Linked DNA regions of Drosophila melanogaster. The gene in region 2 interacts genetically with the main gene of each other region. Each region holds a gene or a part of one and is shown on either strand. Other genes may lie near its edges.

The links.
Region 1: of Cyp9c1 (region 2) and Smox, changing one suppresses a phenotype caused by changing the other (phenotypic suppression), as found in Drosophila melanogaster (one study listed by BioGRID).

Annotation. Positions count from the first base shown.
Region 1 is NC_004354.4:8,136,272-8,144,045, reverse strand, and holds Smox (smad on X), read left to right. Parts: upstream 1-1,766; 5' UTR 1,767-2,410; intron 2,411-3,128; 5' UTR 3,129-3,363; coding exon 3,364-4,824; 3' UTR 4,825-7,005; downstream 7,006-7,774. Other genes in the region: alpha-PheRS (Phenylalanyl-tRNA synthetase, alpha-subunit), read left to right, coding at 1-47; CG17982 (uncharacterized protein), read left to right, coding at 525-1,430; CG2120 (uncharacterized protein), read right to left, coding at 7,159-7,774.
Region 2 is NT_033778.4:24,629,198-24,633,431, reverse strand, and holds Cyp9c1 (cytochrome P450 9c1), read right to left. Parts: upstream 2,370-4,234; 5' UTR 2,247-2,369; coding exon 2,068-2,246; intron 2,020-2,067; exon of another isoform or gene 2,008-2,019; coding exon 1,473-2,007; exon of another isoform or gene 1,415-1,472; coding exon 560-1,414; 3' UTR 509-559; downstream 1-508. UniProt on the Drosophila melanogaster protein: May be involved in the metabolism of insect hormones and in the breakdown of synthetic insecticides.

The DNA.
Region 1 (7,774 bases), on a different chromosome or scaffold from region 2:
TAAAGATGGTGGAGGAGGGCCCCATCTGCCGGCTGGATCATGCTTAATACCTTAAAAAATCAATAGGACCTGCGATCAAATTGCATTTTTTTTCACACATGAATGTTCCAAAACATATTTATAAATAAAAGTTCCGCCACAGAAACTGGGTCTATATTGATAAGGGAAATATAACATTTGGCGAACCATTTTTGTATTTTCCCTCCAAACAGCTGTTGTTCAGGGTTGTCAAGTGCAGCCGATTTATGCTATCTGCATTTTAGGTTATTGTTTGAGGGAAGCATATCGGGTTTATAAAATTCGGAAAATTTTTAAAGAAACTGCTTAGAGTGAGAATCCTAAAATATGTGAGAATAATAAAAACATGTTTGACAATCAGTCAATCAGTTGAAACTATTTGACAACTTTGCCACAAAACAACGTCAAACGAGCGAAGAAAACAACAAAGGAGAGACGCAAAAAAGAAGAAAGAAAAAAAAAAATAAACAAATTCGTCATCGTCGCTGGAGTTTGGGCCTTGAAAAATGGCAAGCAATCCGAAGAAGTCCCTCCACCAGGCGATCCAGGCCGAGTTTGGTCTCCAGCCCACCAGCGATTTGTCCAAATTGAGCAGTATAAGTGGCACGAGCCCAGAAGCGATGCCAAAATTCACAATTCCGCAGCTCAAAATTCCACAGCTTAGAATTCCACAATTGCAGCTGCAGACGAATGCGGATGCCGCTGCCGAGCAGGAATACCGCCGAGAGGCGGAGGCACACAATCAAATGCTACTCAATGAGATCCAGTTGAGGCAACGGCAGCGATCGGAGGGCGAAAACAAGCCGCAATCAATGGGATTTGTGTTACCCCAACTGGTCGCGATGCCCAAGGAGCCCCTGAACATACCCCTGCTGACAAGGTTGGAGAGCGGCATGAAGAAGCTGGATATAGGCGATGGGACAAAGGTGAATACAGCCACGTCAGCACCCCCACTCATTGACCTCACGTCCACGATTATCGCCAGGCATAAAGGCGCACCGCCCAAGGAGCTGGCCAGCAAGGCGCGCCAGTTGACCAATTGTGAGCCTTTTGCCATACCCTTCATTGCCTGCGATCGCGGAAGAAGGAGCACGACCGGTGTAACTCTCTTGGCCAGCAAAAGATCCATCAACTACGACGAGGACGTGCTGGCCGATCGGTCACCAGCGAATAGCGACTACCGGGAGCAACCGGGACCCATTGGGCTCATGCTGGACGAAATGGTGGGCTATCCGGAGCCGAGAAAGCCCCGTCTAGTGTACGCCGTCACTCCGCTGGAACGGCAGCACCTGCGAATGTGCCAGTATAAGGATTACGGCATCCAGGTGAAGAGATTCCGCTTTGATACTCCCTCGCCGGATGAGCTCGTCAAGCAGGCGCTGCAGAAGTCCTGGCGCTTCTCCCGCACTTGACTCCAGTTCATCCTGGTAGTTGACAATTACCAATAAGTGAATAAAAACAAAAAATCCACTACGTTCAAAAATAAAAGCTGTCTGACTTGATTCTTGCAGGGAGTTGATATCACCCATCGATTTAGTAACTAATTAGTTGGCCATCCAATCCCATTCTTTTGTGGCGCAAATATATTTGCGAACAAGTATATTTATGATTTTAGTATTAAAATATGTAACAATATTTATGTTGTTTATATGAATTTATCAAAACGATCATTAGAATGTTTTCACGCCTTATTTTATTTTGAGCCGTGGCGTCGAAGCTTATTCGCGTTTCAGCCAACGGTCACACTACACAGTCGGTCACACTATTGTTGGGCAGCAAGTCTGGGCACACTGCAACTTTGCGAATAGCAAAATCGCGAAACGCAAAAAATTATATTACTCCCATAAAGCACAATTCGAACGTAAAGTGAACTACTAACGTATAGAAAATAAACACAAAGAGCATAACATAAGAACAAACAACAAGGAGGCGTTTAAATATTTATCAAAATAAGTTCTCTGTTCTTGTTGTGCCTCTGTGTGTTTGTGTCTGTGCGCTCGTTTAACTGTGTGTGTGCTCCTTGCGTGTCGGTGTGCGGTGCCTGTGCTTTGGTGTGCGTGTGCGTATAGCTGTCACTTTCTGGCGCGCACACAAGATATATACACACAGAAATTTGAAGAAGCGGTGCCCACCACACGGCCCCCTCCCCGTTCCAGACAACCATCAACGCCACCAGCACCACCACCACCACCCCCTCCTGTTGGCGCGGCTCGGCTCGGCTCGGCTGGATGTGTGCGCCCGGTTCCGGTGCCTTTTGGTTACCGTTCCCGTGCATCTGGACCTGGAAGCAGTGTGTGCGTGCGAGTGAGCGGGCACGATAGAAGTTGAAAGAGCAGGCGAAAGGAGCAAGAGCAGGACGACAGAGGAGCTCGAGTTGCCGGTACCGTTACAGGTAATATTTATATGTGCGAGACACTCGGCGCAAGTGTGTGTGTGTTAGGTGGGGGTTGAAGATACGGATACAGATACATGGATACATTCCAAAGCGGCTGTATGTGCACTTTTCGCTGTTTCCCCAATGCACATTTAATTACTTATTTATTTTTGCGTTTAACTCGATCGTACCCCTCTTGCCGGCGACGCTCATGTTTTTTGTTGTTGTTATTTTCGGTAATTTATTGCCCCGCCTTCGATAAGATGGAAAATTCCAAACTGCCCACAGATTAGGCGTGTGTACATACATACAGAAATATACACACATTCTGGTTCTGTTTCTGTTTTCTGTGGCTGCTGTAACTCAACGAAAGCAAAAAAAAAGCGTCTGCAAACGCAGACATTTGACCTTGTTGGAGACAATAACAACAAGAATAGCAATAACAACGGTAGTGAAAATAGCAAGAACAGCAACAACCCACGCAGACGATTGCATTTGCGATTGTCGTTTTGGAAATGGAAAATCTAAATTGAATCTTTCTTTAGAAATCTGAATGTGAATCTAAGGCAAAAGTTAATAGATTACCCATATACACACGCTCGGGCAATTATCACAATAACATCGTCATCAGGGTCGAGCTTTTATCAGATCCAGCCGCTCACGCACACACATGCAAGCCAATTATCAGGTTTTAATTGCCAAAGCACGCACAACTAAACCCATTCCACTATTCCAGATCAGAAGTGCACAAGGGAAGCAGCAGCAGCATTAGGACTGTTCCAGTTCCACTTCCCAGTCCCGTTCCAGTATTCCAGAGAAGGTGATCGAAATAAAACTAAAACTAAAACTCGACCAACGCCAGCAGTGAGAGCAGTATTCAAAAGGCAACGCAGAGTTGGAGGAGGAGGAGCTAGTGGACGCGGAGGACACCAGGAAAGCCCAGGAGAACTCCCCCCCCCTGAGACCCTGAGATGTTGCCATTCACCCCGCAGGTGGTCAAGCGTTTGTTAGCACTCAAAAAGGGCAACGAGGACAACAGCGTCGAGGGCAAGTGGTCAGAGAAGGCCGTCAAGAATCTGGTCAAGAAGATCAAGAAGAATTCGCAGCTGGAGGAGCTAGAGCGCGCGATCTCCACACAGAACTGCCAGACGCGGTGCGTGACGGTGCCGCGCAGCAAGCCAGCTCCCGCCGGCGAGCATCTGCGCAAGGGTCTGCCGCACGTCATCTATTGCCGCCTGTGGCGCTGGCCCGATCTCCAGAGTCAGAATGAACTAAAGCCCCTCGATCATTGCGAGTACGCCTTCCATTTGCGCAAGGAGGAGATCTGCATAAATCCGTACCACTACAAAAAAATTGAACTGTCCATCCTGGTGCCCAAATCGCTGCCCACGCCGCCCGACTCCATTGTGGACTATCCGCTGGACAACCATACGCACCAGATACCCAACAACACCGATTACAATGCGGCGATCATTCGCAGCGCCTCGTTGAGTCCGCCGCAGTACATGGAATTGGGCGGTGCCGGGCCCGTTTCCGTATCATCGTCTGCCAGTTCGACGCCAGCGACTGCCGCCGGTGGTGGTGGTGGTCCCTCCTCGTCGTCGTCGTCGTCATCGTCCGCCGCCTCCGCCTATCAACAGCAACAGCAGCAGCTGTCCTTTGGCCAAAACATGGACTCTCAATCGAGTGTGCTTAGTGTGGGCAGCAGCATTCCCAACACCGGCACCCCGCCGCCCGGCTATATGAGCGAGGATGGTGACCCCATCGATCCTAACGACAACATGAACATGTCGCGTCTAACGCCGCCCGCCGATGCAGCGCCGGTGATGTACCACGAGCCGGCCTTTTGGTGTTCCATCTCCTACTATGAGCTAAATACGCGTGTCGGCGAGACGTTCCATGCCTCGCAGCCCTCGATCACGGTGGATGGCTTTACCGATCCCTCCAATTCGGAGCGCTTTTGCCTCGGACTGCTGTCTAATGTGAATCGCAACGAGGTCGTGGAGCAGACACGTCGCCACATCGGCAAGGGCGTACGGCTTTACTATATTGGCGGTGAGGTATTCGCAGAATGTCTGAGCGATTCGTCCATTTTCGTACAGAGCCCAAATTGTAATCAGCGATATGGCTGGCATCCGGCCACCGTATGCAAGATACCGCCCGGTTGCAACCTAAAGATCTTCAACAACCAGGAGTTTGCCGCCCTGCTGTCGCAGTCCGTGTCGCAGGGATTCGAAGCGGTCTACCAATTGACACGCATGTGCACCATCCGCATGTCGTTCGTCAAGGGCTGGGGCGCCGAATATCGCCGCCAGACGGTGACCTCAACGCCCTGCTGGATCGAACTCCATCTGAACGGGCCGCTCCAGTGGCTGGATCGCGTGCTCACACAGATGGGTTCGCCACGGCTGCCGTGCAGCTCCATGTCATAAGCGCACGGCCGGTTCCGGTTTTCAATCTTCCCCCTCCCCCAATTTTCCGCACAGAAAGCGCCGGAGTTTAAGGCCCATTTTTGGGTTTGAAAGAAGATCCACAGAAATCCCAGTAAACGGCTCTGACAAGTAACACTGACGATGAATGGATACTATCCTCAAGAATTTGCGGTAGTCAATATCGTTTATTATCGATTTTTATTCACATTCGAGAGAAATTTCAATGGTTATTAAGATGAAATTGGTATGCAATCAATGTGCTTTTGTTCGGCTTTGTAGTGATGTAGTTTAAATACCCTCTGTCAGGGTATAAAATTTAATTATGTCACTAGCTCTAGAAAAAGTACATTTCACTTGCCGAAAGCTGTACAAATTGATGTTGAAAAAAACTACTTGAATCCTTGATGTAACAAGAACTTCCGCATCATCCAAAAATACTATATACAGCTCTATTCATGTTGAATATGACCCGAGATTCATCAGTGTTACTAGTCAGCAGCTCCGCGGGATATCAAAATGAGAATCGGAATTGGTTTCAAAGAGAAAACCAAGAAAAATTCTGAGAGCACATATGAAATAAGTTCAGGCAAATTATATACGAGTACATAAATGAGTAATTGAAAAACAAATGGTAGATGCAAACCAGATGCAGATATATCTATATACAAAGAGCACACACTTACATGTGGGATATATATCTTTACAAGCATATATGAGAGAGAACATGTATTTGGCGTTACAAGTTTAGGACTATATATTGTGTAGGTGGAAACGTGGAGAGAGTTACAGTTTTCGATAAGAAGCAACAATTTTTTTAAACATTTTACATACAAAAAAAAAAAAAAAAAAAGAAAACCAAAAGCACATGAGGAAATAACCGAAATGGAACCGACCAGGAACACAAAAAAACCAAAAGATACCCCGAATCTGTGTGCGTAAAGTTGGTAGCGCTAGAAGCGAGAGAGTCAAAATTCTTTGAGAAAGAAGCAAAACAATTAAATTGGTGATTTGGAACAAAAATGAATGAGCAAAACAGGAACTGGGATTTATCAAGCTTGAAGCTTACACACACAGACACACTACCATACATTGCAAATGTACATAAGACCAAAATAATGAAATTATTCACGCAGGACCTCCACTTGATCGAGTATGGGATTATAGATATATCCGTTTGAAGATGGTTGTTAAACGTTTCGATTTTCGCTTAGTACGTGTGTGTTAAAAAATTCGTAAACTCTTAAAGCGCAGTCAGCTCTTGTTAGTCGTAATATCCGTAAAATGCGATCATATATCCTATGTGTAAAGCACTTGCCCAACAAAATTTGAATGCCGCAAGCCAGGTCTGGCCCATCTAAGGTGCCATTTTGTTCAGAACTGCATTTATTGTGTACCAAATGAGAGATTCTTGATTCTTTTACAGCATCGTATTTGAAACGATAGCTTAACCAACCAATATGCAATATGGTTTGCCGTTGCTGGCCGGATTTTGCTTGGCAAGTGCACGTTTTTCTTGGGTCTAGATCTTAAGTCTATATATGTAACAAAATTCGCTAGCTTATCTTAACGTTTAAAGAGCCCAAATCCAGTTTAAGTTCAAGTTCAAATTGTTTTTACGTCAATATTTGCTGATTCTTTTAATTCTTTTGTTTTTTTTTGCCCATTGCTTCGCTGTTACGACCAAAAATAACTGTACCGCCTGGCCAGTGTTGGGCAGTGAATGGTGCGTGGCGGGCAGTGTTGCCTAGCGCACTTGTCCTCTGGTTCCGGCGAAACTTTAATTTAAGTTTTGTCTATTGTTTGCCCCCTTTGTTGCTTTTAAGTTTCTCACGTGTGCAGTTTAGTGCTAAGACACTTAGTCCTGATTGTCAATCAATCGAATAAACGACCGCGAACGAGATTGTGTTTTGTTAATTGGCTCTAATCACTGTTTTTAATCAAACAATTGTTTTCGTATTTCCGGCTAAGCCCGCAAATAATGTAATGTAATCCTTAAGTTATGCCTAAACGAAACAAAGCAATGCAGGCGAACATGCAACAGCAACAGTCAACAGTCCTCCGAGGACACAACCACAGAGAACCAGCAACCCCGTACCCGTAACTTTATAAAGTATAAATACAAATATATACATATATCTAATATGCAAGCATGCAGATAAAGACAAACAGAATCGTATATATAAATAAACACTTATATTGAATGGAAAGCGCAGACCAAGCCCCCTTCCGGGGGGCAGCTTAGGGTGGGGCGAGTCTCGGATTCGCCTGGAATTCGATTCGAATGGACAGGGAAATCGTACCGTATACTAACATAATCAAAGTGCTCTCGAGCTGTCAACGCTCGTGCACCTTGAGGTGTTGCTTATGATTGGATTTGCGCAGAAATCGTGCTGGACAGAGTGGACAGGCAAATGGTCGCTGCTGGGTGTGGGCAATCTGGTGGTGCTTCAGCTCCGAGGCACTAAAGAATCTCTTGCCGCACTCCGGCTGTGGGCATGGGAAGTCGCGCTGATTGTAGTGCCGCTTCAGGTGGATGCTAAGATAGCACTGATCCGTTAGGACCCGGCTGCAAACCGGGCAGGTGAAGCTGAGCGCAGATGTATCCCGTTGCTCTTGCTCCGCCAGCGGATGTTCGGGATCCGGATCCGTTTGTGCCGCATGCCTTAGCTTTGTGTGAATGCGCCGCGCGTGGATGGAATGAAAGGAGAGATGACAGTCGGTGGCCAAACATGGATATGGTTTCTCTCCCGTATGCAAGCGTCGATGGACAGTTAGGTAGTTGGCATACCGGAAACCCTTGCCGCAGATATCACATTTGTGTGGCCGCTCCGCCGTGTGGGTCACTGCATGGATGCGTAGCTTGTTCAGTTGCCGGAATCCCTTGCCGCACTCCACGCACACATGCGGCTTCTCGTCCGTGTGCGTCATCTTGTGGATGCGCAGATTGTAG
Region 2 (4,234 bases):
ATTGCGGGGTGTGAAAATCGGAAGAAGGAGGAGAGATTTTCCCTTACCAGCCAACGTTTTTCACGCCCTGCGACAGTGAGTTTATGACACGAGTGTAATATAATTCATATTGTACCGAAAAATGTTAATGCCGCTTGAAAAATACCTCCCAATAAATAATCCTTAATGTTCCGTGTGTGTGAGTGGGTGGCTGTGCTGGTGTGCAAGTGGACGGGAGAGCGGGAGGGCGTATGTGTAGCTGGTGACACCGCCCACCACCCACACCCCCTGTTATTTTATGCGGTGTAACCGCAACACATACAACCTAGGTGGTTGGACGAGGCCATCATGTCCTGACAGTATTATGACGTTGCTCGTCGCCCGCTCCTAACCCGGAATCTCTGCCCGTGACATGGACTTTAAAGCCGGAGAACCAAGGGAAAACAAAGCGAATGGAGAATGAAACATGGCCGCGACAAATTTGTCAGCACAAGGGTGTCCAGATGAAATAAATGGCCCGTTTTTGTTTCGTTTCTCTCGCTTTATTAATATTTATGTGTGTCTGGGGGCGTGTTTTTAATTAAGCGGGTCCACGGGACTCCAACTTGCACCAGAACAGCTCCCGGGGCAGCAGTCGGAAACCGGAGATGCTGCTCATCATGTCCGCCGGAGTGCGATCCGTAGGCTTCAGGTGGTAGCGCAGGACCAACTGGAAGATCAGGGACTTCACCTCCATGAGAGCCAGCCGGTTGCCTATGCAGCTTCGTTGGCCCACTCCAAAGGGCAGGTACGTGAACTGCCGGATCTCGTGCTTGTGCTCCTCGTCAAAGCGCTCCGGTCGGAATTGCTCGGGTTCCGGGAAGTTATCCGGGTCGTGATGAAGTGCCCCCACGTTGATGTGCACTAAGTCGTCCTCCCGCAGGTTAACCACCACCTCGCCTTCCTCATCCTTCAACTGGAAATCAGACCCACACATTCGATCCACGATGAACGCCGGTGGCCACTTTCTCAGCGACTCGGACACCACGCAGTTCAGATATTTCATGCCCATCAGGGTGTCGTAGTCTAGTGGCTTCTCACCCAGCTGCTCCTTTACGGCCAGGATCTCCGCGAGCAATTTTTCTTGCACTTCGGGGTTCATCATAAGTTCGTAGCTGGTGAAGCTAAGGCAGGTGGCCACTGTTTCGAATCCTGCCGAGAAGAACAAGAGGCACTGGGCCAGCAAGTCGTCATCGTTGAATTCGGCCTTATCCTGCTGTGCTGCACTCTCCGCAGATCCTTCTTGCTCTGCCTTAAACTGTCTCTGCGCCTCCATCAGCAAATGAATCATATCGGGCCGCACGATACTCTGCTCCTTTCGATACTTCATGGCACCGAAGACCAGCTTTTTGAAGTAGTCCACGTTATTCATGTCCATCACGGGGACCCGAAGTGCCTAAAAGGGCGGAAAGGTTTTACAATTTGAAAAAAGAATGGAGTGGTGATGTCTTTACCTTCATCAATTTTGGCATCAGAATGTATAGCATTACTTTGAGTCCGCCCCAGAAAGTAAACTCTGAAATGCGCTGCCCGATGGAAAAGAACTCGTTGTTGGGATCCTTGAAGGAATTCACTTGGATGCCAAAGGCAGCCGTCGCGATCACGTCGTTGGTGTAGCGCGTGAAGAAGTCCTTTAGCTCCAGTTCGGAAGTGCCGGCATCCAGTTGGCGCTGCACGAAGTCCACCGCCTCTACATTGCAGAAATGGATGAGCTCGAACATCTGTCGGATTTTGAGGCTGGTGAAAGTAGGCGTCAGGGTGCTGCGCATTTGCTTCCAGCGACGATCCCGCAGACTGAGCAAGCTCTTGGAAATCACGCTGGTATCGTTGAATCCTTCAGTTATCCCCTTGCGATGGTTGGTGAAGGTATCGAAGTTCTTGATGCCCACCTGGCGAATGAGTTCCGGGTCGGAGAGATAGTATAGGGGATCCCGCAGGTTGAAGACTCCATAGACCTTGTGCTGCTTCAGGCGCAAGTGCAGGTCAATGCTAATAGAAACGGTAAAACGTAATTAGAAGGAGCTAAAAAAAATCGTCATATTTACTTGCCTATGTTTTATGTACGACTCTTTACCCATCAGCACCGACCACGGAATATTTCCTAGCAGAGGAATTGGCTTTTCGTGGGCCACGCCCCTCTTCGAGAAATACCCGAAGGTGTAGACGGACCATTTGTACAATAGCAAACCGATGAAGGCTACGAATATCGACAACTCCACGAAAACCATGACGGGATTTTGGGGATGGAGCGTGGGAGTAGGGAGTAGGGGACTCTAATCGAGCTGCGCAGCGCGTGGAGGTTCCGAAAAATTCAGAGAGCTACTTCGCCAGTCAACAGACGGTACGCCACTGAAATAAACAATGTGCGCTCTTTCTGTATATATATAAGCTATCTCGGAGAGAGATACTATAGGCACATATATAGCGGGAGAGAAAAAACCGGCAAAACGTGTGAGTGTGTGTATGAGTTTACCTGATTAAGCGAAAGCGAAATAAAAAACAAACATTAAAAGAATAAGTTTGCTTATCAATTAGCATTGGAAGTCACAAGAACATAATATAATTATATTTATAAGAACTATCTGAATGCTATTGCATGCTCCATTAACAATATATTCAAAAACCACATAAGCTACAAATTTCGGCGCAACTTTCAACCCCATTGCGAAATGGGAAAATCAAATGACGTAACTGAGATATATAAATAGATCCTAATCGAAATATTCCATTAGATGGTAGCAAGATGGCCACACACAAAACGGATTAATTCGAACAGATAACTCCAATCTGATGACTAAGCTACTTTGCTGGTTTCCTGGAGTAAACTCACTAAGGTCCATGAGCATGTGCGACTAGTTTCAGTTCTCAGCCGGGATGAACATGGCGTTCGGCATGTCATGCCTAATCTCATTGGCATAAACTAATTTCAGCACTAATCCCCCAAAGCGACTCAACTATTTATTATAAAGGACTTAGCGAAGACAGCCCCGTGGAGTGGGAGCCTGGGGTTGCTTAAGGAGCCGAGGGAGCTACGTGCCTGGGATCTTCCCGCAGCGACGACCTCAAACTAAAACTCGAACTCAAACTCGAGCTATGTCCCTCGCTGCATCTACACTGGCAAAGATATAGGCCGATTGAAATATGTCTAATTTATTATATATACAATTAAAATAATGGTTGGGTTTTCCACTGCACTGCTTACATTGGTTTTACGCGGAAGGATCGCTAACAAATCAGAATTCCAAATTTAAAACACTCTTCCAAGTGGAGCAGAATCCTTTTGAGAAGTACAACCCCGCATGATTTTGTGAGTTTGAGTGGTGCAATTGCTTGTAGTTTGCAGGTTGGAAAAGTTTAGTGTGCCAGCATCCAGCTTCTAACTCGCTCTAATCCGAGACGTCCTGTGCGAAGTCCTTGGCCATCCAACTCACGTCCCGGCCAAATGACAAAATTTGCTTGCATTTAGTGCGACGCTAACGGGAAATTATTGCACTGCTTGCAGGACGAGGGAGCGATGGAGCCATGGAAAGGACCACAAAGGATGATGAATACAAAAAGCCAACAAATCGGTTGGCAGGCAAAAATCCCATTTGATTCAGCGGTCAGTCAGGAATATCAAATGAGAGCAAAATCAATCTCTCGCTCGTCCTTTGAGCTCCAGTTCTCGCCCGTCTTGTTGTTGGGAACTAAGTCTGTCTTTCAATGGAACTGCTGTTTGGGGCCAGAGGCGCAGAAGGTCCCGAAAAAAGGGGTGCGCTTAAGTACTATCTTTTCTAATGTCCTTCTTTTGATGATATATATGTACTTGCAGTACTTATGTTAGCTTCCCACATGAATGAGATCCCTGTTTATAAATCTATCCTACGCCACTGGCCATCTTCATCGTTTTTGTTTCTGCTGGATATCAAATGTGTTTACATTGGCAAAAATGGGTCGAGGTGGGCGAGTTCAGGGGGAGGTGGAGTGGAGTGGAGTGGGGCAAATGGCCAAGTACTTGAAGACGTTTTTTTTTTGCACTTCATTGGCAACCGATGGGTTTGGGCCATTTGAATCGTTCGTCCTTGCAATCGACCTCGTCGTTGGCTTTGTTGCTGTTGACTTGGCCGTTTGCGAGTCTGTTTTCACTTCCCTTTGCCTTTCCGTTCGCCATTAGGACTCAAGTGCCGCCAAGTTGTGCTCCTAAGTGGGATCCTCTTTGATGTCCGCCCAAATACCC